2 linked regions of the Oreochromis niloticus genome follow. The protein of the gene in region 1 interacts with the protein of each later gene in a pairwise test. Links are inferred from orthologs where the notes say so. Each region holds a gene or a part of one and is shown on either strand. Other genes may lie near its edges. The genes, in order: hspb11 and ift27.

Region 1 (15,865 bases):
GGGTGGTGGGCGGGCTGTATGGATTCCAATTTAAGCCCCTGCTGCTCAAAATTACTTAATTAATTCTATCTCTCACACAGAGAGAGAAACTTCCTTTGTAAGTAATTCTACCATTCATCACCATCCGGCTCTTTTATTCTAAGGCTTTGCCAATTATCAGCTTGTGAAATAGGCAGGAACAGTCGAATGTAGGATTTAAAATAAGGCCCATTAGTGAATCCATAACATTAAATAAGCAAAAACTGTGAAAATGGATTGACACAAATGTCCTAATCATAAGGCAGGCTTAAAAATACATTCAAATGTTTTCTCTATAGAACATATCCCAAGAAGATTCATAGTTCCCCAGCTATGTCAAATAATGCTTGTGTGTGTGGGTTTTTTATTATTGTTTAATTAAAAATGAAATACCACAAAGTCATGCAGTTAGGTCCATATATATTTGGACACCGACACAAGCGTTGTTTTTTTACCCGTTTACAGAAACATATTCTAGTTATAGTTCTGTAATGGACACGGACATAATGTGGAGACTCTCCACCTTCATTTGAGGGTATCCACATGATCCACATGGAGATGTGGATAATGGCCCACAAACAAACAGCAACTGAAAGCTGCTGCAGTAAAGGACTGGCACAGTATTAAAAAGGAGGAAACCTTTATCTTTTATTTTCAGTTATTTAATTTGACCAACTACTTGGAACAAAGAGATTGAGTTTTTAAAAAACACTTTAGTTTCTCACATTTTTAAGCAATGAATTAAAGCTGAAAGTCTGCACTTCAACTGCATCAGAGTATTTTCATTTAAAATTCATTGTGGTAATATACAGAACCAAAATCAGAAAAAATGTTGTTTCTGTCCAAATATTTATGGACCTGACTGTATATGTTTATGAAAAAAAAGAAATGGTCATATTATTTTTATACATGTGATGAGCTCACAACGTTGCACAACTTCCATGAAAATAAAAAGTATGCCTGATTTCACTTCAAATTTCAGTATCCATGACTGAAGGTCATCTTTTTGTGCACTTCTGGATCTGAGCCAGCACTCAAGCAGTCAGTGTGGAGCTCTATAACCAGAGGCATCTCAGGGCCTCTTTACACCTGCCTTGCACTGTCTGAACGCAAGCATACGACAATTTTTATAACCTGGCGCGTTGAGGGAACCAATTTGTAGGTTTTTAACACCATTTTAATGATCTATCAGAAGCTCAGAAATTCACAGATCATATAGAGAGAGATCTTGCAGCAGTTTGAAAAGATGGTTTTGTTGAAAAAAAACTTTATTTGTTTCTGGTTTTGACTCCTTTTCCTCCTATTTCATGTGGAGGTACTGTCTGAGTGGTGACTAGTTGAGAAGTGGGCTAGAATAGGTTGGAGTTCAACAGGAACAGGAGAAACCATGAAATAAACTTTAAGGATCAAAAACTACAGACAATCGGTGCAGCGGACACTTTTCACTGTTTTTACAACTTTGCTATTTTTCGCAGCTGGCTGACTGACCAACAACAACACAAGCAAGAGGGGCTTACAGACTGTACTACATACTTGACAACAGAGCTCTCTACAGGTAGATGGGCCATCACCAGACTGCAAACGCGCTACATCTGCTGAAAAATAAATTCTGCTTTATACATTCTGTATCCACGAGTCCGCTAGGGTCTGCTTGGGTCTGCTTGGGTCCCAGTGACATAAATTTTGTCATCAGATGGTTAGCACGAGGGTTTGTGTGGATGTTTTAATGTCTGCCATTTTTTTTTATTCTCGTGACCACACAGACTTGTTAAAGAAGTATAACAGGAATAACTACTCAGCTCTTGGGTTTCCAGCTATCCAAGTTCCCAACTGAGTACAATCTAGGCTAAACCAAATGTGTAACCAAAATTAAATTCAAGTCAGGCCAAATTTAAATAAGGTATGGTTTTTGATTTTTATGGGTTTCGCTGCATAAGTTTATGATCACACCTCGTAAATGTTATACACACATTAATTTTAATTATGTGCGTTAATTTTTTACACTGACTCTGTGAACTGAGACAAAGTGATCATATCCTGCGGTGATGATGAAACGAAGGTGGGTGGCACTGCAGCCATTTAGCTGAAAGAGAAAAACAAAGACAAGTCATGGCTTTATTAACTCTTATTAAACTTGTTCATTTTACATTTACTTTACATTTCCATTTGAACCTACTGTTATAGCATTCGACTGAAGATGTCCCTCTGTACTTTCAAACTCTGCAAGGCAAAGAGTTTGTTAATCCCCGTTAAAAACACTGTGAACGGTGCAAACTAATACTTTGACTGGATGTCCTCATTACCTTTCTCTGCAACAGGCTCAAATTGAGAAGCATTTTGTGAGGTGTTTTTTTCTATTTTCAGGTGCTTCACTGTAAAACAATTAAAAAGAAATCAGCAGGAGATATTAAAAATTGGAAAGAAACCATGAAATAACACGAGATATAGATACAAACTTTAAAGAAAATAAATATGTCTAGAAAACAATATTTATCAATAAGAATTTTAAATATGGAACAATGTTACACCACATCCTTGAGACGTTTCTCTTCCTTTAAATGACCACCCAGTCATTTATTGTCCAGTGTTTGACAGATTAATCAGCTTTCCTTTTTCTGAGCTACTTAATTACAGTTTTATTGACATATTATGACAGGAACTTAAGGGGGGCTGTTGAGGCCATGTAAAGCTCAGGAAGTCCAAGAAATTTTTCAAATAAACTGCAGAAACATCATGACTGCAAATGAGCTGCTGGAAGGTTTCATGAAGGGGTGATTATGTCTGCATGGAAGAGCCATCAGAAAGAACCCTAACCCCCAACCAATACCGCTGCTTGGTATTGAATATTAGCAGTGGAGAGATAAAACACATCACCTGAGTGTGCAGTACTGATTAAAACTTTGGGGGCTCCGAAGGAGCGGAAACAATAATGACAAAAATGGATTCATGCGTATATCAGCAAATTATAAATGCAAATATCCTGTAGTTGGCTGAAAAGAAAAGGTCAATTTCTACATTAACACCACGAAGAATTTGTTATCCCACATATTACTTTAAAAAGCATGACATAAACCTTTGAGAAAGGCGCTCATAATTCCCTTGAAGAGCAGCTAATCTGCAATACTACGTGGGTACAAAAAGTGTTTTTTCAAGCTGTTCTATATGAAATCATTTTAATGCCTGTTTACTTCAGCGGGGTGCATACAATCCACACAAAATACAATCCCAATTTTAAACAAAGCTGGGATTGTGGAATGCTGTGTAAAATGTAAATAAAAGATGAATACATTGATTTGCAAATCTCATAAACCCTCATTTTTTCACAAAAGAACACAGAAAACACATCAGATATTTAAACTGAGAAAAAAACACAAGGTCATTTTGAATTTGATGGCAGAAATACATCTCAAAAAAAGTTGGGACGGAGCCAACAAAAGCTTGGAACAGCAAGTGATACTAAAAAGAGACAGAGGAACATTTTGTAGCCAGTCAGGTTAACGGGCAACAGGTCAATAACATGACTGGGTATAAAAAGAATATCTCTGTTTAAAAAGATTCAGGACATCTGAAGAAATCTCTGTGCGCAAGGGACAAATAAATACAGGCTGAAAACAGATGGATACCCTTGATCTTTAGGCCCTCAGGCAGCACTGAAAAACAGGCATGATTATGTCATAGAAATCACTGCATGATTTTAGGAACACTTCCGGTCTGTTACTACAATTCAATCTACCATCCATTCAACTCAGGTTAAAGCTCCATCACGCAAAGTAAAGGCCATACATGAACACGATCCAGAAATGTTGGCTCATTTAAAATTGACTGAGGTAAGGTGGAAAAGTATTTGGAAATTCAGTTCATCAAATTTTACAGATGGACCCAACGTTTATAGAACTGGACATGCATGTTTGCCCTAAGGTGCACACAGCCTCCATACCATTGTAGCTGTCCACTGTCACAGTGCCAATGTTTGTAGGTTCAGGGAAGTGAATGATGAACTCTTGAGGAAACATCCCAGTGGACATCCAAAACGTTTTAGTGTTTCTGAGTGATAAGAAAGACAGAAAATCATGACATTTTACCATTGATGAGATCTGTTTAAATCACATTTTGATATCAACTTTTGTTGTGCAGATATACAATATTGCGCAAAAAATCTTCTTCCTATTTTGCTGCCATGTAGCCAGACTTTCCGGAAATATCAAAAATGTTAGCTAAAGCAATAGTCCTACTGCTTTTCCAGTCATTTGCACAATCATGTGACTCATTCAAGCAAAAAATACAGCACGTAATTCAAGACACCTAAATCTCTCTCGCGCCATCCGACAAGCAAAGCGTGCACATGCACAAAAGATCCAGAGCCACTTCCACAACGTGGAACGCGTGCTGAGATACTCCGCTGATCAGCTGGCCGATGACTACAGAGACATCTTCAACTCATCACTGAGCCTGATGATCATCCCAGCGTGCTTCAAGTCCACCATCATCATCCCGGTAGAGCAACCTCCCCTGCTCACTGGACCCGCCACAGTTTGCATACTGGCCAAACAGGTCGACCAAGGATGCTATTTCCACTGCACTTCACCTCTCCCTCTCCCACCTGGGCAAGAAAGACAACTATGTCAGAATGCTGTTCATGCTGCTGAGCACCTCTCTCTGCAACTGGATACTAGATTTCCTGTCAGAGAGGCCTCAGTCCGTCTGAATCGGCGACAACATCTCCAGCACCATCAGGCTGAGCACAGGAGCTCCTCAGGGCTGTGTTCTCAGCCCTCTGTTGTTCACCCTCCTGACACACGACTGGACTGCCCTACACAGCTCTAACCACATCATCAAGTTCACCGACTACACACCCGTGGTTGGACTCATCAGCAGCAACGACGAGTCAGTGCACAAAGATGAGGTTCAGCAGCTGGCGTTCTGGTGCAGTGAAAACAACCTGTCACTGAATGTGGACAAAACCAAGGAGATGATCATCGACTTCAGGAAGACTCGCTCCACTCACACACCACTCAGCATCAACGGTTCCACAGTAGAGACTGTTAACAGCACCAGGTTCCTGGGAGTTCACATCTCAGACAACCTCACCTGGACCACCAACACCACCTCCATCACCAAAAAGGCCCAGCAGCGCCTCCAATTCCTGAGACGCCTGAAGCGGGCTAACCTCCCTGGTCCCACCCTCACCATGTTCTACAGGGGCGCCATAGAGAGTGTTCTGAACACCTGCATCCCCGTGTGGTTTGGAAACTGCAAAGTCGGTGACCTCAGCCAGCTACATCTGATCGTCAAAGCAGCTGCAAAGATCATTGGAACATCTCTCCCTCTGCTACAGGACATCTTTCACAAACGCTGCATCAGTAAGGCCTCCTGCATCGTGCGTGACCCCTCACACCCCTCACACGGACTCTTTTCCCTCCTCTCATCCGGCAGACGCTATCGCAGCATCCTCCAGACTGCGAGACAGCTTTTTCCCACAAACCATCAAACTCCTGAACTCACTACCAGCTCCCCCACTCCACCCCATCACACACACCCACACAAACCACTAACTGACTCTACCGGACTCCACATACCACTGCCTTTGTAAATACAGATGCTGCTCTATGGACAGTCCTACTCTCAGGAATCCTCCTCATGTTAGTCCCTTTATTTCACAGTGTAAACTGTAAAGCTGCTACGTTGGTCATTTTAAACCACTTAAATATCAATTGTAAAATGTAAATTTTAGACTGTTATTAACCCTTTTACCTCAAAGTGTATATTTACTCCCCTTACCTCAGTCTCAAAGTGTATATATATTTATTCTTTCTATTCTTACTCTTCCTACATTTCTTGTTGTTCTTTTGCACTTTATGGAACTGGAGCCTCGTCGTCTCGTCTCTCTATGTACTGAACTGTATTTAGCAGAGATGACAATAAAGTTTTGACTTTAAAGGGACGAACCAGTGTTATGTCAACACAACAGACAGCTTAGCAAAGAAGCAATTTTAAGTTGCATCTTCAGGCACCTTTTAGTAGCAACTTGTAGCAAAATCACATAATTTGTTTCGTTTTGTTTAAATGAATATATGAAAATTGACAAAGATAAAACTGCTGAGATAACCACGGCTTAAGAACCAGCACTCACCCGTCGATAATGCTTTCTGGTGGGTGATTTTCATCGCTGGATGCAGCGAGGACAACTTTCGCACCTAAAGAAGTTAAAGAGGACTCAATCATCGCACAGAAAAGGTTATAGTCTCCGAGGCTTTCTGGTTTTTCTATAACAGGACACAACAAATGCTTGTTTACAGATTCTTAAGGGGGGAAAGTCGTCAATTGCCGTTGCCAAGCCAACCACTGCGTCGCAAGATATAGACGTCGCAATGTTGTACGTCACAATTTCCGACGCACGCTGCTAGTTAGATGTTTAGGAGTTAGCGGCTAGCACTGGATATAGCAATTGTTCACATGGCGAACGGATGCGAAGAAGTGCTTTTTACGCGCGGAACTGGACAGGCGAGTTATAATGCACTATTAAGCGGAGGAACATGACTTATATGACGCTTCTATGCTGTCTGTGCAGTTGTTTGAGGCGGTGAGCTATATAGCTAAAAGCTACAAACCAACGTTGAGTTAGGCTAACTTAAGATATGAGAAAAGGAATAAAAGAAGTCAAGCCGGAAATAAACAATATACCAGATGTTCTTCAATAAACAAAACGTGGCTTTATTGGAATATACCGTTGTGGATAAACGTTACAAAAAATGCTTTACAAAGTAGTTTTAGGTTGAGTTGCAACAGTTTACAGGAGACAAAGGTGTACTGTACAATAACCCTAAGATCCTTTGCATCCTGACTCTGTTTTTGCATGCACTGCTTGTAAGATGCTTCATTATAATTGTGGATTTAAGACTGATTTAAAAATAATAATAATAATTCAGCAACATTTAATGTGCTCGTCTTTTTGTGTGTTGTTTATCCTTTTTCCACGAAAGAAATTGATTAATTATTCATCATAAATTAAGTGTTTTAATGTCTTTCTGCTCTTCAGCACACCATCTTTTACTATTTAGTGAATTATTTTGACACAACAAATAAATATTGGCTGCAAATGTCATCTGGTTTGCAGGTATTATTTATTATTTTTAAATCACTTAATGTTTAGCCATTATTTATGTATACCCATCAAAAATACATGTTCGTTTTGTAAAGACTCCAAATTTGTTGTTCTCTTCCAGAGTGATGATTCAGACATCTGGGATGACACCGCACTGATAAAGGCTTATGACAAGGCAGTTGCATCTTTCAAGGTAACTTGGGATTATTGCAGTATGTGTGAATGTGAAATGTTGTTTGTGACTTTAAAGTCTCTTCCTGATTTGCGTATTAGACTGCCCTTAAGGGTGAAGATGAGCCACAAGTCTCAAAGAAAAACCAACCAGGAAAGAAACGCAAGAACAACAAGAAGAACCAGAGTAGGAAAAGAAACAATGCACCACCAGAAAAAGAGGTGAGGAACTGGAACTAAAGCTACAGATACATTTGAAGGGGAAAAGGTGTTAAATATTTACACATGATGTTTACAAAGTTGTCAGAGGTATCAAACTGGAGAGTACATTTTAACATAAGTCAGTTTAGATTCTGTGTTTCAAATCAGTGGTCGAAATGTGTCTTTCATTTACAGTTTCTACAGTTATGGTCAGAAGTTTAACTACACTTATCACAGGCATGAATGTCATCATAATTTGAGGATTTTAATAATTTCTTTTAACTGTTCTTTTTACTTTGTGGAGTGATTGCACAGCATACATCCTAAATGGGTTTTAAAATCAAGAATTTGGTGGACAACAAATTTTTGGGAGGTGGATTTTCTCTAATCCACACAGGGTGAAAAGTATAAATACGGGCTCAAATATATACATACATTCACTTAAATATTTTAGTAAGTGGTGCTGAAGGTTCAACAATGACTTAGAACTTGGCAAGGCCTGTTAACTTGTCATTAGTGATCATGATTGACTAAATCTAATAGTTTCTCTGCCATCATAAATAGGATTTGCATGGCAGCAGTTATTGGATTGACCAGTGCTTGTTACAATAGGAAACGCCAGGCTATTCTATGAAGGTCTAAGAAGGAGAATCGTACATTTATACGGGTTGGGATGGTCTTGGAGCTGTCCCTAAACAACTTCAGATTTTAAGATAATCAGTTTAAACAATTGTAAGCAAGTAACAGTTACTTGCACACGTGACCTCTTATCCAAGGTCTCAAAGAAGACCCAATCTGTTACATCCTCAGATTAAAGGAAATTGGTTAGGATGTTCAGGAACAACCCAGGAACCGCTGAGGCTCAAGTCTGCCATGAACTGGAAACTGCTGCAGCATCAGTGTCACTGTACACAGTGAAGCCAGTTTTGCATCACTGTGAAGTGGAAGGGTGCCAACCAAGAAAGAAGCACCTGCACCAAAAGATTTTCAAGCCTGCCTGAAATTTGCAGCAGCCCACATGGACAAGCCAAATGTCTTCTGTAGAAAAGTTTTACGATCAGACAAGACAAAGGTGTAGCTATTTGTCCACAATGACAAGAAGTATGTTTGGAGCAGTAAATATTAGGCTTTGAAACATAATTTCACCTCAAATCAGTCATTGGAAAACTGTTCCAACAGGACATTGTTCCCAAACACACATCAAAACTGGATTTAGAATGGATAAAGCAGGCTAACATTAAGCTTTTGGAATTACCTTCCCAAAGCCCGACCTCACCCCCATTAAAATTTGTGGACTTTGCTTAAAACCTGGGTTTGTGCTGGAAGCCAACAAATTTAAATGAACTCTATTAGTTCTGGCGAGAAGAATGATCAAATATTTAACCAGAAATACACCAGAAGCTTGTTGATGGTTACCAAAAGCCATCTGGTGGAGGCGCGACTTGCTCAGGGACATTTAACGCGTTATTCGGAGTATATGTGTATATGCCTTATGTATACTTTTGATCCCATAGAAATTTAATTTAAACTTGTGCACCTCTTCTGCACCATGTTACCATGACATTCATGCCCATGATGAGTATTTTTTCTGACCACAACTGTACCCTGTTGGTAATTCTGAGACATTCAAAAACAGCGTTGTTTACACATGTTGACGCTTTCACTTTAATTACAGTTTATGTTGTGTCACAGTGGCAGGTTGGGGACTCATGCAGTGCTTACTGGTCCGAGGATGGCCAGCTCTATGCAGCCACGATTGCCTCCATAGACAAGAAGAGAGGCACTTGTATAGTTGTTTATACAGGCTATGGCAACGAGGAGGAGCAGAATCTTGAAGACCTGCTGTCAGAGTTTTCGGAGGGTGATGAGGAATCAAATACCAAGGTAAACTAGTGCAAATAAATGCATTCACATAACAGCAGCACAATACAAATAACAATTCAGTTATTAGAAAATGGTAGTATTGTTCCCTGACACAATTTGCACATAGTTTTTACCTTCATTATTCACATATGCACATCATGAATTTTAAAATAACAAAACTAACATTGTGACCAAATCAGGCTTAAATAATTGGCAAGCAATCCATTGTCATTTGGGTTTTTTAATAGGCCACAACTTAATGAATATAACAGTCGAAATTTCGGCAGTTGGCGTCAAAGACCAAAAAATATGAAATTATTATTAATTACTCCACCCAATATTTATCAAATGGTGAGTCATGGAAATCACTGCCGATTAACAGATTGCTTTCTCAGTCTATTAAAACTTAGGACCAAGTATGGATGGATGGGTTAGCTCTTTCTGCTTTTGTCTGGATCATTTCTTACTGCTTCCCAAACAAATTCAGATAGGTTTATGGATTTCTCTGTATTTGTTCCCAATGATATGAAAATGGGGAGAAAGATCAAAGCAGTATGTCTTTGCTATCCATAGGTGCATGAAGTAGAATCTTCAACAGAGGAGAGTGACAGGTCAGCTACTCCAAACCAGCACAAACAGTCACCTAATAAGGGCCACAAGTCCAAGACCCACAAAGAATCACCTCCTATGTGGGCTCCTGGTTTTCCTGGATTTCCTCCAGTACCACCTCCCATGCGTGCTTTCAGACAGGTAAGAAGAAAGGCTCTTTAGGGAGCTGATTCATTATTAGTCTAACAACAAAATTACTTTCATGCATACTACTCCTCTTATTTTTGTTTTTAAATTGTGATTAAATCAGTTTCAGGTGTTAATTAAATTCCCGATAGGAGGTTGAATGTTTGTTGTAGTCAGAAAGATGAAATGTGAGCAAAGTGTTTGTAATCTGAACAATAAAGATAGAATATGAACATTTATTGCAGGACTGGATTGTAATAGGCCCAACTTCTTTTTGTGGACCCAACTGTAAAGAGCAGAAAAGAAATAATGTGTTTTAAAAAATATTGTACATTATCTTAAGCCTTGTTTGAGCCTCTACGTGCTGACTGTTCAGTTTAAAAGCATACATACACTTATTATGGACATGAACTTGTGCCTTTTAGTGCTTTCCTGGAACTGTGGGGACTAATGCTTGCAATAATGATGGATATTAAAAAGAAAAAAGTTTTAACTAATCTTGGACTTGAAATCAAAAAGCATCAGAGTTATAAATACAGATCATCAACAAATTTGCTTAAATGTTAAACGTTAAAAGTTAAACTCTTGAATTTATGGTCTTCTGGCACAGCTCTTACTAAGCACATTTCACTTTTTTATATGGTTGTTATTTCAATTTTATTTCAAATGCCTTATTTTTACACTGAGCTTTGTGTTTTATCCAACTTTAATGAGTGTTTGATCATCGTCCTGCAAAACGACACAACTGTTTCCAGGTTTCAAACATCTATCTGATGTTTTCAGCTTATGATGAAGAATTCTGGAAAGTCCTTCTCGTTCATTAACTTATATTAACTTAACTGGCAGTAGATCAGCCTCAGAGCATGATGCTGCCACCACCATGCGTAACAATCATGATGAGGTTTAAGTGTCTCAGCTTTTTTTAAAAATGACTGTGTCAAGATTTAGTGCTTTATATTTTCACGTGGGAAGCAACAAACTTTATTTGAGCTCGAAAGTTTTGATGTTGGACACCAGCCACTTGGTCCATAACTCTGTAAAACCTCACTAACTTTGGACTGTGACAATGTTGTTTAAGCAGCTTCTGTTTCATGACAAGCCTGCACTTTGTGATTATCTTTGAATTTGCATTCATTTAGACATGCTTACAGTAAGCATTCCTGTCTTGTCCGATGTTGCGTTGGTATTGATCAATCCAGTTAGTGTTGTCGAACTAACCTTCCTTGGCACAGAAAAGCTACCACCTAGGCAGACACTAACCAAAGCTAAAAGGCCATGCACCTTGCCCTTTCTTTTTTTTCTAGCCCCCTTGCATTAACAGTTGGAGTGGATTTATTAATAATCACCGCTACCACCACCTCACCTCTATCTGGCTAGTCTCAGCTCCCCAGGCTTAACAATGTGCAATCATTTTGCCTCACAAAGCAAAGATCAAAGATATCAATTAAAGCCTAATATTTCCATGATATTTATGTCCATGTTGAAAAAAAAGTTATTTTGAGTAAAAGAATTGAAAGACATCAGATTGCGCTTACTTCAGTTTAGATAAGCTTCCCTAATGAAAATAGTTTCAAGCCTCTCTCGTTATCTTGGGTACTTTATGTGGTAATGATATTACAAGCTGTTGATTTCCACCTTTGTGTCTTTTGTCTTGCATCAGGGGAGCAGCAAGCGATCTGGTAGTCACGGGCCTGTACCTCCTCCATGGCCTCCCATGATGCCTTTTGGTCCACCGGTGAGTTGGGATCAATTTTTACCCTTAGCAAAGCTAAAGGGTATTTAAATGTTTACTATACAGCAGGTTAAATGTAGATACAGTTTAGGATATAACATGTTTAGGGTCTAACAAATGGCAATGTTAAACACCTGCATCCTGAACATTCGCTCTGCTGTTGATGCCTTAGATGGTTCCTCCACCTCCACCGATGAGCCCTGACATGGTGGATGATGAAGCCTTGGGCAGCATGCTCATCTCCTGGTATATGAGTGGATATCACACAGGATACTATCTGGTACGTGCACAGAGCCCTGCTGGCTTTTTGGGAGGTTATAACATGGATTTGGAGCTTGTACATACCTCACCTTTTGTTATGCTGTAAATAGTAGTCACTTGTTTATGGTAATGTTGATGCTTTTCCTTTGCCTTTTTGGTTAAGTTGCTTTATTTTTCCTTTCAGATTTTTAGGTATATGTAAAAGTCATGGATTCATAAAATGAGTAATCTTTTGGGGGTTATTGTGTTTTCATAGGGGCTGAAACAAGGGCGCAAAGAAGCTTCCAACTGGACAAAACAGCATCACAAATGAAGCCCTGCTTGTTATGTCTGTTTGTTCATATGAAGTGATGGAAGAAAGTTTTGTATTCTTTGTAAATAGATGAAATAAAGACTATGAGAACACAGCGGGTACCTGTTTTTGGATATAGTTTAAATTATGCTAGAAAAGACTGTATAAATTACTTTTTTGTACAGTGTAATTGCTTAATAAGAGCCACTTTATCACTTTAAAAAATACATATTTTCTAATTGATTTTACAGAATGGCAAAAAAAAAACAAAGGATTACTGGATATTACGTGTGTGTATGTGATGAACTCAATAGCATATGGCTGTAATGGCAAATATTGTCCAGTAGAAGTCAGACTGGTGTAATGTATTTATAGGAAAATGTGGCATGAATACATAATCGACTGTTTTTTAGTCCTGTACAAAACAATGGCCATACAAAGGAACATTTTATGCAACCATTAGTCTGTATACTGTACACTTGCCATCCTTAGAATTCGATTCCAACCCAGACTTCAGTCTTGTGTTTAGTCCCTCTGGTGATTTCCACACTGTTAATTCAGAGAGTCTTTCCAATATGTTCCTTGGATACGAGCTCCCCATTTTCCCTGAGGTGTTCCCTCGTCCACAGCCCGATATAGAATCACATCCATCATAATCTTTTTCAGCTCGCATCACATAGACGCATATTTCAGGGTGATAGAAGGCACAGTTTCAGCTACAGACAGTATTACAGTGAACTAGTCGTGCAGATAAAGATTGATTAGAGAAAAGTACTGAGACATTAAGACCACTGACAGATACAGACAAATTGAGGCAAAAACCTATGGAGGCGTCACGGTGTGGATCAATATATAGTAACATGCTACAGCCTTAACAATCACCCAATTAACACCTTTGGAATATTTTGGACCTGTGGGCGCTCTCCAACACAATCAACATCAAATGAGGGAATATTTAATAAAAGGCTTATGTTTCGAGGACTGAAGCAGTTCTAATGCAATTTCTTTAGTGTGCCAATTTTTCTTTTTAATGCCTTTTGCACTTGACAAATTCTTCGGGAGATATTTCCAGTAGGAACACCTAGATTTCAAAACTCCATTTTGCCACAAATTAGGCATATTACTTTCTTGGCTCTAATATTTTGCATAATGACAACTCAGGGTCTGCTCGCGACTTTCTTTCCGATGTCCTGAAAACTATGCTGGAATGTTTGAGGTTTAATAGTGTAGGAACAGAGGAGGAAATGGGACGGTGGTTGCAGATACTTTGTTCATTTTTATATTTAGAATATAGAAAACCACATGCAATTACAGTGGCAACAGCCACAATCATGCTGCTGAAGCTGTCCTGCATTCATTTCATGAACATATTTCCTATATTTCCTCTACTTTATGCTCATTCTTTCTGAAGTGGTGAGCGATTTGTGTGTGAGAGAGCGAGAGAGGGTTCAACAGAATATGGTTTTGTGATAGGTTGTAACAGCATGATTGTCTCCTGGCTTTTTTTCATTTTTTTTTATACCATGTGATCTTCCTCCAGCTGCTCCATAGTCATTGCTTGACAGAAGAGCAGTCTCTTTGTTTGTGTACTGGCTGTGGTCGGCATTTTATTGCCCACTGTGACTGCCAGTGTTTACTGCTGTATTTGATTCTCACTGCAGCAGTCTTTTTTTTCTTTTTTCTTTTTTTTTTGCTGTTTTGTGTGCATGTGCGGGGGCAAAAGAGAGAGAACAGGAGAAGAAAGAGGGACGGTAACAGGAGAAAATGTAGTTTGTGGGATTTACAAATAGAATATGCACTATAAATGAGGGGTGATAAACCAGACATATCTTTTCCCCACAGATGGGTCTAAAATCTGCCACGGCGAGGCTTGCACATAAGCCCATTGCTTGCCTGACTCTGCAGCAAACTGAGCTGCCCAAAGGGCTCAGTGGAGCCCAGTGAGGAGTTGAAAGGGGGTCAGACCTTGCTTGGGAAAGCACCGCTCCCCTCTGTGACTGTCTACCTCCTACTGACCAGACTACATGAGGCATGTAAACATAATCTGCATTTCACATAGATCCTTCTAGGAAACAGACAGACATCCAAGTGAGATCGCATTGCTGCATGAGTTACAGTGCCTTTAGCTATTTACCCAAGCTCCCAACATCAACAAACAACCTTCTTTTAGATAAGAGACTTTGGGGGATTTTTAGAGAAACAGGAGCTGTGCTAACCCCTTTCCCTTTTTCCACAAAGATAGAGCACCAAACATTCACTGCAGTCAACATTACATCTTGAAAATAGTGGCACAAACACCATTAACACCAAACGCAACAAAATGTTTGTTGACACAGTTAAATATAAATTTGCACTATTAAGCAGAACTGGTAAGACTCAGCTCTGTGTGCTAAATCACAGATTTAAAGTCTCGGTGAGGGCTGCGTACCAACCTGAGTAAAGTGGCTGTGACGGAGAATCATAAAAGCGGCGCTATTTACATATTTACATACAGTGCCTGCAAACAATCACAAAATTAATATTTAAATATTGGCAGACAGACAGCTGTTTATGATTCAGACAGAAGTCAACAAAACAAATAATTATTTTAAAAAAACAGCAATATATGATACCAAGGTAATTACATATTATATATGAAAGTAGTTATCCTGCAAATAATAAGATCATTACAGCCAGCACTGACTCACACTGATTCCTGACTAAGACTTTATTTTTCTGAACTGATTTCCAGCCAAAGGCTTTTTAACTTTTGAGTATCTTTTTTTGCATAAAGGAGTATTTGAAATATGGGTCTGCAGAAAATGGATAACTGACAAAGCCCAGACTTCTCTTTTGCCTTGAATAGCTGAAATATCACAAGTAAACTGCTCAATTTATCAAAGAAAGCAGAACAAGAAAAGGATTTTTGAATTTGAAGCATTCGGACAAGACGTGCAAAGTATCAGACATTTGTGCTGATGACCTGCAACAAAGGCAACCGGTTCATGCAGTAACCCCAAGGGATGCGTATCTGATTTATTTTCTTATTTTCTTATGCTTTTGAACTGGATGAAGGCCTCTGTCTCTTTTCGTGGACGTGACCTCGGTGTCAGTGAGAAAGATCCTCGATTACCTTCTGACCCAGAAGCTCCAGCAGAGTCACAAATTATGATTCGCGTTCTTGCTGGGTCGTCATGCTCTGTTGCAGATGCTCATAAATAAAACGTCTTATCATGAAAGTAAAGTCCATACCCCTATCTTTACAGCCCCGTAAAGTGGCTGCATTATTGATATTAGGGAAAAGAGAATTCCAGAGGAGCACATAATGACTGTTATAAACATTATGTTTAAAAAGATCCTTATAGCCTCCTTTTATGAGTGGCTACGAAAGCCTTCAGCTGCCAACTAAAGCTGCCGATAAAACCGATTTTCATTGTCATCACAGTGATGTGAACACGAGCAATTAATACATCAGAGAAACTTTAGCTTAGTAAAATATGTATGCAATTGG
Region 2 (15,328 bases), on another chromosome or scaffold:
CTGGCATGCCTTTGTCATAAACAATCATTCTTTCTGTCACATTATGGGCGTGCCTGTCAAAATGCATTTACAATCTGCAACAGTTTTGAAGAGAAGAGAAGAGAAGAGAAGAGAAGAGAAGAGAAGAGAAGTTTGTTGTCAGAGAGTTACCACTGTCTAGTCTGATGTATGGCAAATGTCAATACATGTTGACTGTTGTTCTGATTTGGCGCTATATTTAATTGAATTTAAAGTATTTTAAGCCTTTAAATCACCTAATGTTATGGTAGCATTTGTTTGTAGCCATACTGAGCTGATGTACATATGTGTCATATTCAGTTTCCTTTTTTCTTATCTGACTATTTAGCTCTAAATGGTCCACTATGTTCTAAGTTCTTGCTCCCTACTTTGTGCTGTTATTTAGAGGTAAGGAAGTATTTTACAAAGGACTTTTAGAACACTTTCACTAAAAACAGCTGCCTACAGCAACCGAAACTGACATGACAGTAAACCAAAGCAGAAAACAACTTGGCCATTAACTCAAGACAGGAGTCAACAGAGGCCATTTAAAAAAAGAGTAGGTATAACTGTAAATTTTTCTTTTTTAGAGTTATATCTACTGTGAAAGAGAAAAAAAGCTGACTGTTTCTATGTGAAAGAAACACAGAAACAGTCAGTGTGAGTTTTTCTCTTTTGTCAAAACAAATAGCTGGTATAGCTGTTTACTAAAATGAATGTTGACTGTTCATCACACAAAAGCAGTTGCAAAAATATAAGAATGACACAGAAAGAGCTGTAGTGGCTGTAAACCTTCCTCCTCCTTTGCAAGGTGGAGGCAGCTGTTTTTTGAATCTGCCCCGAACTACAGTTCAGGAAACATCAGCTATTTGAACTTTGGTCAAACTGTCTTAATGTTAAACAAACTGCTGAAGGTAGTTGGGATCTTTTAGTACAGAGCAAATAGAGGTAGCTGTTAAAGGAGATAAAGTGCAGGCAGTAGAGAGGCAGGACGATATCACAAATTCACCTTCTTTACAGGCTACGAGATCTAAAGAAATCCTAAATGGACCAGATAGTTGCAGGCTGCCTTTCCCCCTCCAACTATTCACTGGTATGAGATCAGTGATGACCTTGAAGAAGTGAGTCGAGGTTTCTTCACATCAGCATCTAACTCTAAATTGATCTGATCTCCTGAGCTCACACTTAACGAAGCATGTCAAATGCAAGAGTCTAAAATCCTGCAAACACACACGCACACACAAACGCACCGTGGACACTCACTGCCTCTGTGAAATACACACACACACACCTCCGACCAACATTTACCCAATTCATACACACGCAGAGTTCATAACAAGCATCCAGCAGTACACACACGGACCAAGCTGCAGTCCCACTTCAGAGCGGTCTAATGAGCTGGTGTGATGCATAGGAAGCTTCTTGCTGGAATGTCAATGAGAGCCTATTAGTAGCAAATAAACTTGGAATATTGCTAACAGGCTGTCTGACATTTTCAAAGGAGGACGTGAGCGGAATGGCTGACAGCCTCGGCTACCCTTCAAAATCAAAAGTTGAAGAACATGAGGGATGACTTGGGCGTCTGCAGAAGGATTAACCCTTCACAGCACCGGTTAAGCCCCATGAAAGAAACACATATTGTGTCCTGTTTCCATCAGCATTTAAATCTTAAACTGAAAGCTGTGGGACAGAGTTACTGGTATTAGAGTAGAAAGGTCACCTGTGGAGTACCCCAGGGATTGGTGATTTACAATCATGATATCAGTTAATATTTTTAAAAATGACACTAATTTATATTGCTGTAAGGGAAAAAGTTTTTTGCAGCAAACCTAGCTATTGGAAGAATCTGGAATAAAATAAGTAGAAGTAAAAGACCTTGTAAATACTTTGTCGTCCATTTATAGTTTTTTAAATATCCTATCCCTATCCCTGTAAAAACACGCTAATCAGCTCCAGGAATGTGCACCCCAGCAAATTCACTCCATTCATCCAAAGGTCAGATCGTGCAGACCTCAAAGAAACCACGAAAAAACCCAAGAGTTACATCTCTGTGGGTGAACGTGGTTCAGGGGGTTGAGAAGCTGAACTTGTAACCGGAAGGTTGCTGGTTCGATCGCCTGCTCTGTCTGTCTCGGTCGTTGTGTCCTTGGGCAAGACACTTCACCTACTGTTGTTGGCCAGAGGGTCCGATGGCACGATATGGCAGCCTCGCTTCTGTCAGCCTGCCCCAGGGCAGCTGTGGCTACAACTGTAGCTTGCCTCCACCAGTGTGTGTGAATGTGAGAGTGAATGAATAGTGGAACTGTAAAGTGCTTTGAGGTTCACGAAAAGCGCTATATAAATGCAATCCATTATCATTATCATTATCTCAGATTATACCAGCCTCAGCTAGCATGCTAAAGGCTAAAGTTCATGACAGAAAAAAAACTGAACAAGTACGGCTTGTTTGCAAGGACTGCCAGGAGAAACCCTCTTTTCTCTAAAAACAACATGGCAGTACAGCTTAGGTTTGCAAAGTTACATCTACACGAACCACAAGATGTCTGGAACAATATCCTTTGGACAGTAGAGACCAAAGTGGAGCAAATCTAGAGCAGAATGACTGAAAAAATAAAGAATCAAGGGGTTGCAATGGCCCAGTCCAAGCCCAGATCTCAACCCAATTGAAATACTGTGGCCAAAGTAAGAAAAAAAGTGCTCACAAATCTCAATAAACTAAAGCAAACTCGTACAGGAAAAATTCTTTTGAAGCTTATTCGTAAGTTCAGTAAGGGAGATCTGTAGTCACACATCTGTCTACTTGCCAGGTATTGGCGGCTAATCTAAGCTTTACATCACTTCCACTTTCCCACACTGTCAAGCTGATTGTGACATCACTGGTCTAGTCCAATCATCTTTCTGCCGGCCTTCTTTAGACCAATCAGCCTTCACTCCACATACTTTAAATCTCACTGCATATCTGTCATTCTCCTTTGCAGACGCCTTCGTCTACTCCACCTCCTCCGCATCACCGCCTCTCCTTAGTCACTCAGGACCTATTCAAGCCTCCATCTTCATCTCCACCACCAGAGTCTACACTCCAGGGGATCTTGTCCTAATCCCTATCACTGCTGGGATGTTGTTCTGCTGTGATGGATCATCGGAGTCTAGCCGCCAAATGCCTCAAATTTAATTCTTTACATCGACAAATCATGTTCAATTCCTTCTAATGATCTCTCCTTACTGAACTACAATGATGCAGAAAACTGATAAAGTCATACAGAGAATGATTACTTCAAGTTAGTGCTGCTAGAAGTGGTTCAACAAGCTACTGAATCAATGGGCGTACTTAGTTTTTTACAGGAGTGCAAAGAGTCCTGTTAAACAACCCAACTCAAAACACTGTTCAAAGTAACAAGAAGCAAAGAAAGGTCTATGGAGTCAGAACGAGAGGGAACATTAACGTGTTCAACAGTCCTGAGTAAGGGTTCTTTCTCTTGGGCAAAGCTCGGTAGATGTAAATATTCATACATCTTGTTCAAATGCTGGAATTGAAGGCAAATCTGTACATTTCACTATTACTACTCTCTAGAAAACACAAAGTAACTTCTGGATGAAAAATTCATGGTTTAAGAGCTTCATTTTTTTTTTTTTCCAAAGTCAAGTTCCTTTTACATGAAGCACTTTACACCAAGTGAGTTAAGAAGTTAAAAATATTTCAACTAATATCAGGCAAGCGGTTGGCTACAAATAGGTGTTTTAACAGTTGCATAGCAACAGCAAAGACTGTGACCAGCAATTCCCCATGAGCATTTCTTTCAGAGTATTCAGCTAATAAAGTGGTGTCAACTGGACACAGAGCCTTGATTTACTGGCACAAATGCAGACCTGTATTTCTCTCCACCTACTTTCAAAGCGGCATTGCTTCTTCTCTTCTTATTTTCCTGTTTGTTGTGTATTTGAAGATTTTCACACAACTCCACCTGTATCATTTCTTTAGATCTACTCATATTAGCTGCATTAGTTAAAAAGATGTCTAATAGTTTGACCTGGCATTCAGCGATGGTGCATGCTAGGCCATTACAAATTGAAAAGGCCGCCCAATTGCAGCCTCTTTCTACTTCGTCAATGACCCGCTAGTTCACCGTGAAGAGACACACACAGCATCACAAACAAGTGCCTACTGTATCAAGCCTATGCAGTATGAAGAAACTCATCCCTGTTGTTTTTTTGTGTGTATGCTGGTGTGTGTGTTTGCTAGTTAAGTACCTGTTCTGGTGGCTTTCCAGAATCCTGCTGTATTAATTATCGACGTTCCTGTCACCTCAGAAGCCCCCTAACTGCTGACATAGCAAGATCTGAGCAACCACACAGGCACATGCATGCACACACACTCGCACACGCACACTTGGCCTTTGTCCAGTCATTCATACACCAACCTGTTCTGTACCATAACCACTGCACGGCTTTATGGTAAAGTCACTAAATGTGAGTGGTTGTGTGTTGAGAGAAAACTGCATGAATATGTATCCATACTCACGAGTTAATGCATGTACCGCACCTACACTTTCTTACTTTTGCAGTGCACTAGCCCTTTAGAAAACTGAGGGAATCGCTGAACAGCCATGCCGCCATACATCACAGAGTCAGGTTAATGACATGGTTCCTTTTGTCGTGTAGATTAGCATAAATAATGCAGATAAATCCTTCTCTGCGTCAGCATTAATTGCTACATTATGCTGTTGTGCACTTCAGTGATTCCTGTAGTAAAGACCTCTGCAGGTCCTTGAAAAGCCTGCAAGAAGTTCCACTAAAGAAACTACATGCAATATAAACATAGTCCTCTTTGACTAATATTAGACATGTTGATTTGCTATTGATGTATAATTACATCTTACTGTTTCATTAATTTGAAAATTCTACAGTTCTTGACTGATTGAGCAAATCTGGAGTAAACGGCTACATGTGATTAACTGTGCACGGTTACTCACTGCTTAACTGCTATGCCTATATCTATAAATACATCTAGAGCCTTCTAAGACCTTAATAGGTCTCAGGAAGGTTAATACTAGCTATCAGAACAAGTGTGCCTACTAAAAAAGCACATTTTGCCAATTACATGCTGATTAGCTGCTGCAGTGTCAGGCAGGACTGAACGCCTGGATTTCTGAGCGCTTCACAGCACACAGATAAGGCTATTCCCTACAAACTACTATCTATTCTGTGCTGGCAGTGAGCCAGCATTGCACTTCATGAGCTGCTCCTTCAAACCCAATTCACCTCACTTACCCAGCCTGAATACAAAAACATAAGCCTGTGGCTAGTCACGGAGTACACCCCGATCTGTAAATCCCTGAACAACTTGTTTTACAGCTCCATTCCTCTGCTGATTGTGTGAATGGAGTACAACACATCCCTACTTACTGTTATAAGACATGTTATGCTGCCTACCCCACATACACTGCAGTATGTCTGGCAGTGAGCTCGCTTTCTCTGTGTTATGTGACAGTGCTACACCAGGGGGCAGTTTCTCAGATGTGGACGGCTGCAGATGTCACAGACAAGTAGTCATTCTATTATACTTTGTTCGAGCCTGCTTGAAGTCCACGTGAAGGACATATCCATAGCTGGTACATTGGTGCAAAAACTGAAAGGCATGCTGACATCTGCTCTGAGCCTCACATTCACCCTTTCACAACAAAATTAGTCAATCGGACCAAGTGTATACTTAAACACACAAAGTATAGCAGCTCCTCTATATGAACCAGGAAGGCCAAACCCATTTTACATTGCCACATTCAACTAATTCTGATCTTCAGTGAGCCAAACCAGAAAAAAAAATCCTTTCTGTCTGTGTAAAGAATTATAACTACACATTTAAGCCCCAAGAAATCTTAATATAAAAAAGAAGAGCAATTTCAACATTATGTCTCAGTTTTTCTATGTGATAAAGACCAAAAAAAGTCAACAGTCAATAGTGAAAAACTGAAACTTTTCTGTAATTTAACTGTTTATCTGTTACTTATTTACTTATACTAATTAAGTAAGTAAGTAAATGGTATAGGTGTAGTATGAATGGCCACAGGGGAAGTCTTTATCAGCAGGGAAAGCTTAAAACCTATTAAATTTATGCCTTATTTCAAATTTTTCAAAGCCATCTAGTGGGCCAGTTTAGAATCTTTTCCAGGCTGATTTTGGCCCCTGGAGTCTTATGTTGACACCCCTAATTTAAACTATCTAAAGATAAACCAACCTTCATATACACGTGTCTGTACACGTGTATAGCACCAAGTGTTGATTCCCACTGGTACAGACTGGTGTCACTGATTGCTACCATGGTAACATCAATAAAGCTTTTGCCAGGTGACAAAAATGATGTCAAACTGACGTCACATCTACTTGGCCACGATACCACTTGAGTGTCGCTCCGGCCGGCCAAGTACCTTTTGATTTTGGAACCTGGGGCATTGCAGGCAATCCAACCAATGCAGGTTGATGATATGAGTGCCGTTTTTTTTTCTGCCATTTTAATGATATATCAGTACATGAGCTCGGAGATCCACAGATTATACAGAGGGAAATATTGCAAAAAAAAGAAAAAGAAAAAAAAAACAAGGAAAAAGAGGAATATGCTTTTATAACTTCTATGCTTCTGGTTTTGACTTCTGTACCAGTGACAATATGGAAATTTTGTCTGAGTGGCAACATCTATCGTTCAGGAGAAACTTTATAAACTGAATGAAATGACCAATGAGCAGAACAAAAGACTGTCCTAACCCTACAGATTAGTCTAAAGCAATGATGTCAAACTCATTTTATACCGCTGACCACACACACCACACGTTGATCTCACGTGGGCCTAACAAGCGAAACTTTCTGTCATTGTAAAGATGTTTAACTACAAATGATCACATAGAGATCTGTGTTAGCTCAACAAACTGTCCTGTATTTACAAAACACATTTTTTTTATTCACAGTAAATGTTGATTTTGTTACATATTTCTATAGATGGTGGAAAAAACAGGCACTTTTCTATCATTCAGTTGTTTATCTTCTAGTTAATTCCTTTTGTTTTGCATTAATAGGAAAAGCTGTAAAACTTATGAAAGGAGGGCCTTATTTTGGACACATCGGATCTAAAGTAGGAAGACTCACTTCACTCATGGAATCAAACCATGAGCCTTTTAGTGACTGTGTTAATGCTCTCACCATGCTGTAATTCTTCTGGAAGAGAGTGCCATCGCTGTAGAACATATGAGAAAGAGCACTTTTGCCCACTGCAGCATCTCCTACAGACACACAGACACAGGGAAGAATACAAATATGACAGCCTGTGGTTGTGTTTACGATGTAGTTTTTGTGAATTAATAATTAATAGTTTAATTTGTGTTTAAGGAGTTCGTTCTCGACAGAATTCATAATTAACCCCCCTCATTATCAGGGAGTTTTAGAGTTTAGTGTCTGGTTCACCATCAATTCTGTGAGTTGAAACATCATCACTCGGCAGTGATTGGTTTGTGTAAGCTAAATGACTGTAGCTACATGATAAAAGAGACCCAACAAACATAATCTTTTATATATGAAATAGTATCAGGCTTGTATTTGTCGTCAGTCCTATAACAAGTAGGTTGAATCTGAAACATAAGAAGGACACGGCCTGTGGCTGGGGATGTTTCTGTAGTAAAAGGCTAGCTTTAGCCCCCGTTCCTTATTTATCAAGTGGGCCGCTTTGAAAACCTTACCGACCAGCAGACATCTCGCCCTTAACTTGACCATTACATGGGATGACTTCCGGTCTCTGTCAGGTAAAACTCTCTTGAAGCTAATCGAGCTATGTTTCGCTGTTTATCGGTCCATATGCGATGGACTATCCTTCTTGCAGCCTCGGGAACATGGACACAAAGCGTCTCTTAGCAACCAGCCACGGGGCTGTTTCATTGGTCCAGCCGTCGAGGACGTAATCGCGTAGTCGTGTTTTCATTGGTTTTCTGTGAGGACGTAAAGGAAGCAAAAGGCTACTTTTGCAGAGTCTGTTAGACAGAACTTACTGAAACAGTGTACAAACGTAAATATCAGTGTGCACAACCATTTATAACACCAATAAGCCGACTTGACTAAATATTAATGGGGCTTGTTTAAGAACAGAGCAATATCACGTATAAAGCCTGAAGGAGAAAACAACCATGAGGTCCTTGCATATTCAGGCAATATACGGTAAGACCGCTAGAGGGCGGAATTTATTGCACCTACCCACGGCACCATCAATCAGGGAGTTCAACGTTGTTGGGTGGTGGTACTGTTATACTGTCGTTTATTCATGTAGAAGCATTCTAGTGTTTTAATAAGTGCCTTCACACAAAATAACCCTTTACCAATATTTATTTTCAGCTCACATACTTTATCATATATGATATGATATATATGATTAAGTTAATATCATGTTCTGGTTTAATGGTTTAATCACTGTTTTTCCGCCCACCATCGGTAAACGAAGAGCGCGTGACTCTCTGTAGTGGTCCTGAGTACGTCGCTGTTTTTCTTTCTTTCTGTTTTTTTTACTCGGGGTGTTTTGACGAGGAGCGCTCCGTCCGAGGCGTGACAACGGAGGCGCGTTCACGGGGTCGCCACCGGCTTCTGCGCTGAACTAAAGGGAGAAAGCATCACTATCTAGCACCATCACAAAGCTTTCTTTACCCAAACACTCAACGGAGACAAATTAGAGGTTACATTTAAAACCAACAGCACGAGAGAACAGGGCGCCAAAGGAGACCGGGGGTGGGGGGAGACGCGCATCCCAGCCGTGCAGATTCAGCGGTAGTACAGTAGTGGTGATAGGGAGCAGTTTCGGGGATTTTCCGTTTCGGTTACCCGGTGCTCCACACACCCTGTGCCTTTGAGCCAGCAGCGGGGAGGGAGAGAGAGGAGGAGGAGGACCATGGAGGGGATGCAGGCATACGGAGCCGGGAAAGCCGGAGGAGCCTTCGACCCCGTCACCTTCCTCCAGCAGCCTCAGACCATTCTCCGCATAGTGTCTTGGGTGAGTTGGAGATATAAAAACGAAAAATAACTTTGTTCTTGGATACACAGTTAGCTACAGAGGCCACCACTTTTTTAAATCATTCATATATGTTGTCAAATATTGGTTTGAATTAGCCAACCGAGGGCCCACACAGGCTTCGTTTCAGAGAGGAGCTCCTATAGATACTGAAGGCAGCTGTAACATGCTTTGTGGTGTTTTGTTCTTTTAACTTTTGTTTTCACTTGTGTGTTTGGTGCTATTACCTGATCTCACTAATAATATTCTCCTCACGCAGTGGGTTGATGGGTTGATTGAACAGAGTCCCGATCGCTGTGTACAAAATCCACCTTCTACAGATACAGTGACCAGATGATGTTTTCTCATGAGCACAGTGAGAACACGCAGTCACACATTTGTTGAATTTCATAGCAAATAATTTCATAATAACTGACCACCCTCCGTGCTCTGAGGAGGAGGAGGAGCACTAATGAAAAAGGAGTAGCAACAGTAGGAGAACACTTTTGACAAGCATAGTAAACAGATGGCAACAGAAGTGCTCCCCAAAGTGTTGGCTCCACGCTGAGTTTTAAGGAAATAACAGCTGAAATGTATGAAACCAGAGGTTTATTTATTAATATAATTAATCATTAAGGAAAATGTGCTCGGTATAAACTGAATGTATAACAATCAAGTTCATTTCATTTGACCAGACCATTGTTTTACATTGTACTTATGTAAGAAAATTACATGGAAAATTTACATGTATTTAAATGAGTTAAAGTCAGGATTTTGGGCAGATTTTCTTCTTTTTAGCGCACTACCAGGTGGTATTTTATAAGATTTTTGTTTTGGGTGTCTAGTGTTTAACCCGCAGCTGTATCTTTTGTGTCTTGTAGTGTTTTAAGAGGAGGAAAATGCATGCACTATGTGGTGTTTTCATTAGAACGCATCAAGGAAGTTCTCTTAAATTGTTGTACTTTAAGAAAGACAGGAAGTAAATATACTGCGTCCATTCATAGACTGCGTCAGGTGATGAATATCTGACGGAGATTTATACATTACATTGTTACAGTTCATTTTTTTAAATGAACATTTGGTAATGTGCAGCAATTAGGAATTGCCCTTATTATCATTATTTTTAACATATTTGGACAATAAGTTAACACATAGACAGTGTTGTTTTAGATTTTGAACTATACAACTGATTTTTGACTACAGTGCAGTCTGTTACAAAGAGCATATTATTATTTGTTTTAATAATAATTCTTTTATTTCACCTTGTTTTATGGAAAAACAGGAAAAGATGTGGAAATGTGTACTTGAACATCTTTTAATAAGAAAAATGACTTGTAGTTTTTGTATCTGGTGTTCATTCAGATTATCTTACGTGTGACTAAAGGCACTTCCTGACCACAGTTGTTGGGATTACCTGAAGGTAACAACCTACTGGGAGAACATCTTACCTTTAGTTATTATTTCTTTTATATTTACATCAGTAAGAATGCTTATGTGATGTATTAGCCGGCTAGAAGTTGTGTGCTGGCAACAAGTTGGCTACAGCCACAACAAAAGGTTGTAGGAAGACATGATTGGAGTTTTGGGATTTTGTCCGTGTATGTAAGTAGCTGAATTGGTGGTGGTGTTGCTAAAATAGTAGTTTATGTCTGTTAAGCTGTGTTATCCTTGGCATCATTCTTTTGTAGACTCAACTAAAGAAATGGGAACATATTTTGTGTTTTGCCAAAAAATACAATTTAAAATGTTTTTTTCCCTCAGTTGTCTGTTATGTGTAGACACTGTGCTGATTCACAGGTCAGTGATAATTGGCTTAACAAACACAAGAAACATTCCTCTGAAAATAAGTGAAAAAGCAGCCAATGTGCAATGAAAAACTGTGAAGACTCAGAAAGTCTGGAGCACCATTGTTCAAGAGCGCTTTAAAATATCACAAGAAAGTGTAGCTGCTTGGAAACAAAATAAGAAGAAATGAGAGGTGCCTCAAAACTTTTGTACAGCAATGTTACCCAATGTTACAAGGGACTATTTTCTCTAAATGTGTTCTGGTAGCCAATAAGCCCAGGCGGTAAAAGCCTGATCTGATCTTTTACTTTCTTCTAACTCTTTTTCAGTGTCTTCATCTCTATACTTTCACTGTACTGATTTTCTCTGTGTTGAGGCACCAGTTGGTTAAGAGGAAACACTTGCAAAGATTTTATAGTGTTCAAAAGTTAAAATTTCATTGTGTTTCCTTTGTAGCATAAAGTCCGAACTTTAGCATCTTTCAGGTTCTCAAAGTTTAGTTTCATCTTAAGAGCCACTGGTTGTTTGCAGAACTAAAATGTAAGCAGTCACATAATGTCAGTTACCAGCGTTGCATCAGTACATAATGCTTATAACTATATAAACCTATATAAGGTAAGGTTTGTATTGTACTGTACAGTCCTGACTAGGGCTGTGCGATATGACCAAAATCTCATATCCCGATATTAAAACATCTATCGTCGATATAACGATATAAATTACAAAAATGTAACAGTTCCTGTAAATTCTGTGAATGTCGGGCATCTCGACTTGCGTGAAGTGTTTCCAGCTGGGCGTCGCGTACCTGGAGTCGAGTGTTTTAACTGATGCATGAAACGATATATTTTTAGAAGTAAGTTGTAACGGCCGCCGTTTTCTTTGTGAGTATTTATTACACGGCGTGCTGCGGGGAAAAGCCTGTTCTAACGTTTGAGTCTAAGGTTTATTTTTTAGCACCTGGCGGCTCTTTTTTGCTTCTCATCCGTTAATACTCTGCATCTTTCACGTGACTCGTTTTATTTTGAAAAGCCTCAACAGGATCTTGAGCTTTATTGTGAAAGGTTTATGTGGAAAATAAACAAGCGGACACGCCGTGGTTTTACCGTCGTTGTTGCTAACGAAAACGCATAAAAAACAAGCGCTTGTCCTTCCATAGTGTGGTTATATTAAATATAAGAGAAAGAGAGAACTTTAGGAAATTAATATAGCCACTACAGTGACCATCAAAATGATGAAAAAATATTGCCGTAAACAGTTTATTTTGCGACACCACGAAACAAACGATAGCGTAAAATGAAACGATAGACGTTTTTCTATCGTCATCCGATATATATCGTTATATCGAACAGCCCTAGTCCTGACACTAAAGTGGGAGCTGAGGTGTTCTTCTTTTAAAAATTATAAATGCTTTAAAAAGCTTCTGTGGCCTGAAAGTGCCATAAACTTAAAAAGTTATACTTAAAATTATAATTAGAAATACAAAGAAAATGCATGGTTTGTGGTAAAAATAAATAAGAGTTTATTAATCTGTTAGCCTTAAATAACAAAGCCAATGGCAAGTGATGTGATGTGTCAGTAAATCATGGATTTAATCGTTGTAATGCTTAGTTGTGAGCTCATATCTTTGGCTGTATACGAGGTATACTAATATGATGTATATTATTTATATTAGTAAACCTGGCAGTTTTCTGAACATATGACACATGTTGTGCTGTAAATTTGTCTGTATGCAGGAATATTTTTCAGTCACGTAGGGAAAGCATATTTTAATATGGCACAATTTGATCACTGCTATTTCACCTTTTTTTAGAGTTTTAGGGTTTTATGTTGAAAGTATATGGCACAACTCAGTAGATATTTGTAGTTATAAAATCTCTATTTATTATCTAGGGTTGCAGTTTTTTTCTTTTTTCTTTTCTATCTTCATTTCTTAATCTTTATATTATTATTTCTGTTTGAATTAACTAGATTACTGCGCTACAAAGGGGGTTAAATCGTATATTTAAACAATACATTTTACTGTTATGTGACTATTTATTAATGTTCAAGTTGCATAGTTGAGGTTGAATGGTTGAAGTTGTTTCTTTAAGCATTCAGTACTCAAAATCTTAAAAATAGAAACCAAAACAGCACATGTTTAAATGTCTTAAAGAGTTTTATGGTCCTCAAAAATGTTTTTAAGCTACATTTTAGGTGACAGATTGCTTCAGCAGTGATTTTCTTCCACGTTTATAATTTTCTATTGATTTGACACTTTAAGACAACACTCTACAGGTATGGAGTGTCTTTATGACTCCTCACCACATCCCCTGTCCAGAGGTGTCATCAGAGCAGCAGCATGTCGCCATAGTAACAGGCATAGCCTAGCTTGTGATGTATCGTGTGACGACTTTCATATTGAGCCTGCAGCAGTCTGTGGGGGAGGAGACTATAACATTCAGCACTATAAAGGAGACTTCCTTAGTTCATATACTAGACGCCTTTCCCAGTAGTGTAGCTGTTGTGGCTCTTATGGTGAAAAGGCAGCTGGCTTCAAGTCACACTTTCAATGGAAGTTAAAAACTGACACATGCAAACAAAAGTTCAGCTTTTTCCAAGACTTCAGTGGGTCATACGCTTCCATATTTGTAAAACACACACAAACCGATTGATAATATAAAGCACGTAAGCATTATCGGTGATAACCCTAACCAAAGGTGGGAAGTAACAAACATGTAACAAACGTGCATTTTTTTCACAAATATCTACTTTCTACTCCTGACATTGTCAAAACAGTCTCGTTACTTTAGGTTTGACTCATTTAAGAGAAGATATTGTTTCACATCACTGCATGCCAAACATCCAGCGATGTGACAATCATGTTAGTATATCCATTACTGTGGATTATTACATAGAAAGATATTAAAGAACCAAAAATATATAATTTATGCATCTTATGTCTAACAATGCAAATGTTGTCATTGTGTAACAACACATTCCAATAACCCCAAAGTGCCAGGTCCTTCACAAAAAAATAGCTGGTAGTAATGTCCTTCAAAGAGCTACTTTTTACTTTCTTGCTTTGAGTACATTTCAGAACTGTACTTTTTTTATTTTACTTGAGTAAATAAGTTGAATTGGTACTTCATCTTCTACCAGAGTATTTTTTGATACTAGTATCTATACTTCTACTTAAATAAAGAATGTTTGTGGTTTTGTCACCTCTGACCCTATCCTTGTGCTATCGAAACATGTCATGTTCTTGTTAAACTTGTTCTCCTAAGTTCTGGCAATCATGAGACAAAGAACATCAATCAATTTAATGGATGTGTCAAAACTTTTTCTTCCAGAAAAGTGCTTTTTGCTTGCATCCGAAAGATAGAAATTAACATCTTCAACCTCAGAGGGTTAAACAATATTTTGTTAGCAATTCAATGAGAGTGTAGCAGTCCATGCTCAGCAATAATGAAACTTTGTCCCTTCCAATGTGAACATCGCTTAAAGGTCAAGCACTTCTTAGCACTTTCCTGCAAGTCCATTATAGTGATGAACAGTATTTAAGATCCCATTCTGTAAAATTTAATGTCTGTTTGTAATGTAGAGGTAAGAGCAAACCAGGTAAAATGATAATGCCAGAAAGTTGATTCTGTTTATCTGGACATACTGTTTTCAGTGGGAGAAAGGTTTTGCCACTCATCCAAGAGAATTCTTCAGTCACAGGTTTCTCCAACCTTATAAACGGTACATTTGCATAATAACTGAAACTAGCACCGCTAACGAACAATGAGCTGTGAGGTCAGTTTCATGATCGTTAATATGCAAATTATCATGACCATTGATCAACTACCACTGATCAATGGTCATGAGTACCATTCACAGAGAGTTGGGGAATGGCTGCAAACACAGCATTGTAAGTTGGTGAAAGATGTACCCTTAGTCCTGGATTCAGAGATGGTCTTGATTGGCTACTGGACTGTAGGTGTAAATAGACCATGGGGTCCTGGTCTGACAAGTTAGCTCTTATGTATGTGCCATCCGCTTCGCCAGAGGTTGTTTGTTTCCCTGATGTGTAAATCATGGCAATCGTCCTGGAGATTAACAGCGTACACTATATTACTCTGTCTGTGTCAGGCGACCCGATCAGTGGGGTGGACCAGTTTTTGGCGCAGTGTGTTTTGGTGTTTGAAAGCCACACAGGCCAATTGTTTAGAAAAAATGTGTGTCAGTTCTTCTGATACTCCTGACATATAAGGTATCATCACTAAGGGTTTTTAACCGTTGTCCTTTTTCTCGTCTGGATCACCCAGAGCTTTCTTTAGGTGCCTTCCCAGCTGGGATAACCACATTTACTCAGGGCCTTCTTGATATGATGTTCTTCTGCTTCCCTGGCCGCTCTATCTGTGCGGATGCTGTTCGCTCTGTGTTGTAGCGTCCTGATGACACCTAGTTTGTGCTTCAGTGGATGATAAGAGTCAAACCTTAAATACTGATCTGTGAACATTTGTTTATGGTACACATTAACTTTTAAATATCCCCCATTACTGATGGAAATCT

Evidence for each region.
Region 2: the proteins of hspb11 (region 1) and ift27 interact in binary tests that used the Homo sapiens proteins (3 or more experiments, as listed by UniProt). The two-hybrid records come from large-scale screens. The link is inferred for Oreochromis niloticus from reciprocal best matches to the Homo sapiens genes IFT25 and IFT27.

Annotation. Positions count from the first base shown.
Region 1 is NC_031977.2:14,348,718-14,364,582, forward strand, and holds hspb11 (intraflagellar transport protein 25 homolog), read right to left. Parts: upstream 6,365-15,865; 5' UTR 6,241-6,364; coding exon 6,149-6,240; intron 4,063-6,148; coding exon 3,956-4,062; intron 2,391-3,955; coding exon 2,322-2,390; intron 2,239-2,321; coding exon 2,195-2,238; intron 2,102-2,194; coding exon 2,009-2,101; 3' UTR 1,266-2,008; downstream 1-1,265. Other genes in the region: smn1 (survival motor neuron protein 1), read left to right, coding at 6,472-6,519, 7,242-7,313, 7,394-7,513, 9,185-9,376, 9,929-10,105, 11,751-11,825, 11,995-12,102, 12,340-12,396. UniProt on the Homo sapiens protein: Component of the IFT complex B required for sonic hedgehog/SHH signaling.
Region 2 is NC_031971.2:8,796,428-8,811,755, forward strand, and holds the start of ift27 (intraflagellar transport protein 27 homolog), read right to left. Parts: upstream 7,899-15,328; 5' UTR 7,753-7,898; coding exon 7,719-7,752; intron 7,266-7,718; coding exon 7,186-7,265; intron 1-7,185. Other genes in the region: syngr1b (synaptogyrin-1), read left to right, coding at 8,912-9,013. UniProt on the Homo sapiens protein: Small GTPase-like component of the intraflagellar transport (IFT) complex B that promotes the exit of the BBSome complex from cilia via its interaction with ARL6. Not involved in entry of the BBSome complex into cilium. Prevents aggregation of GTP-free ARL6.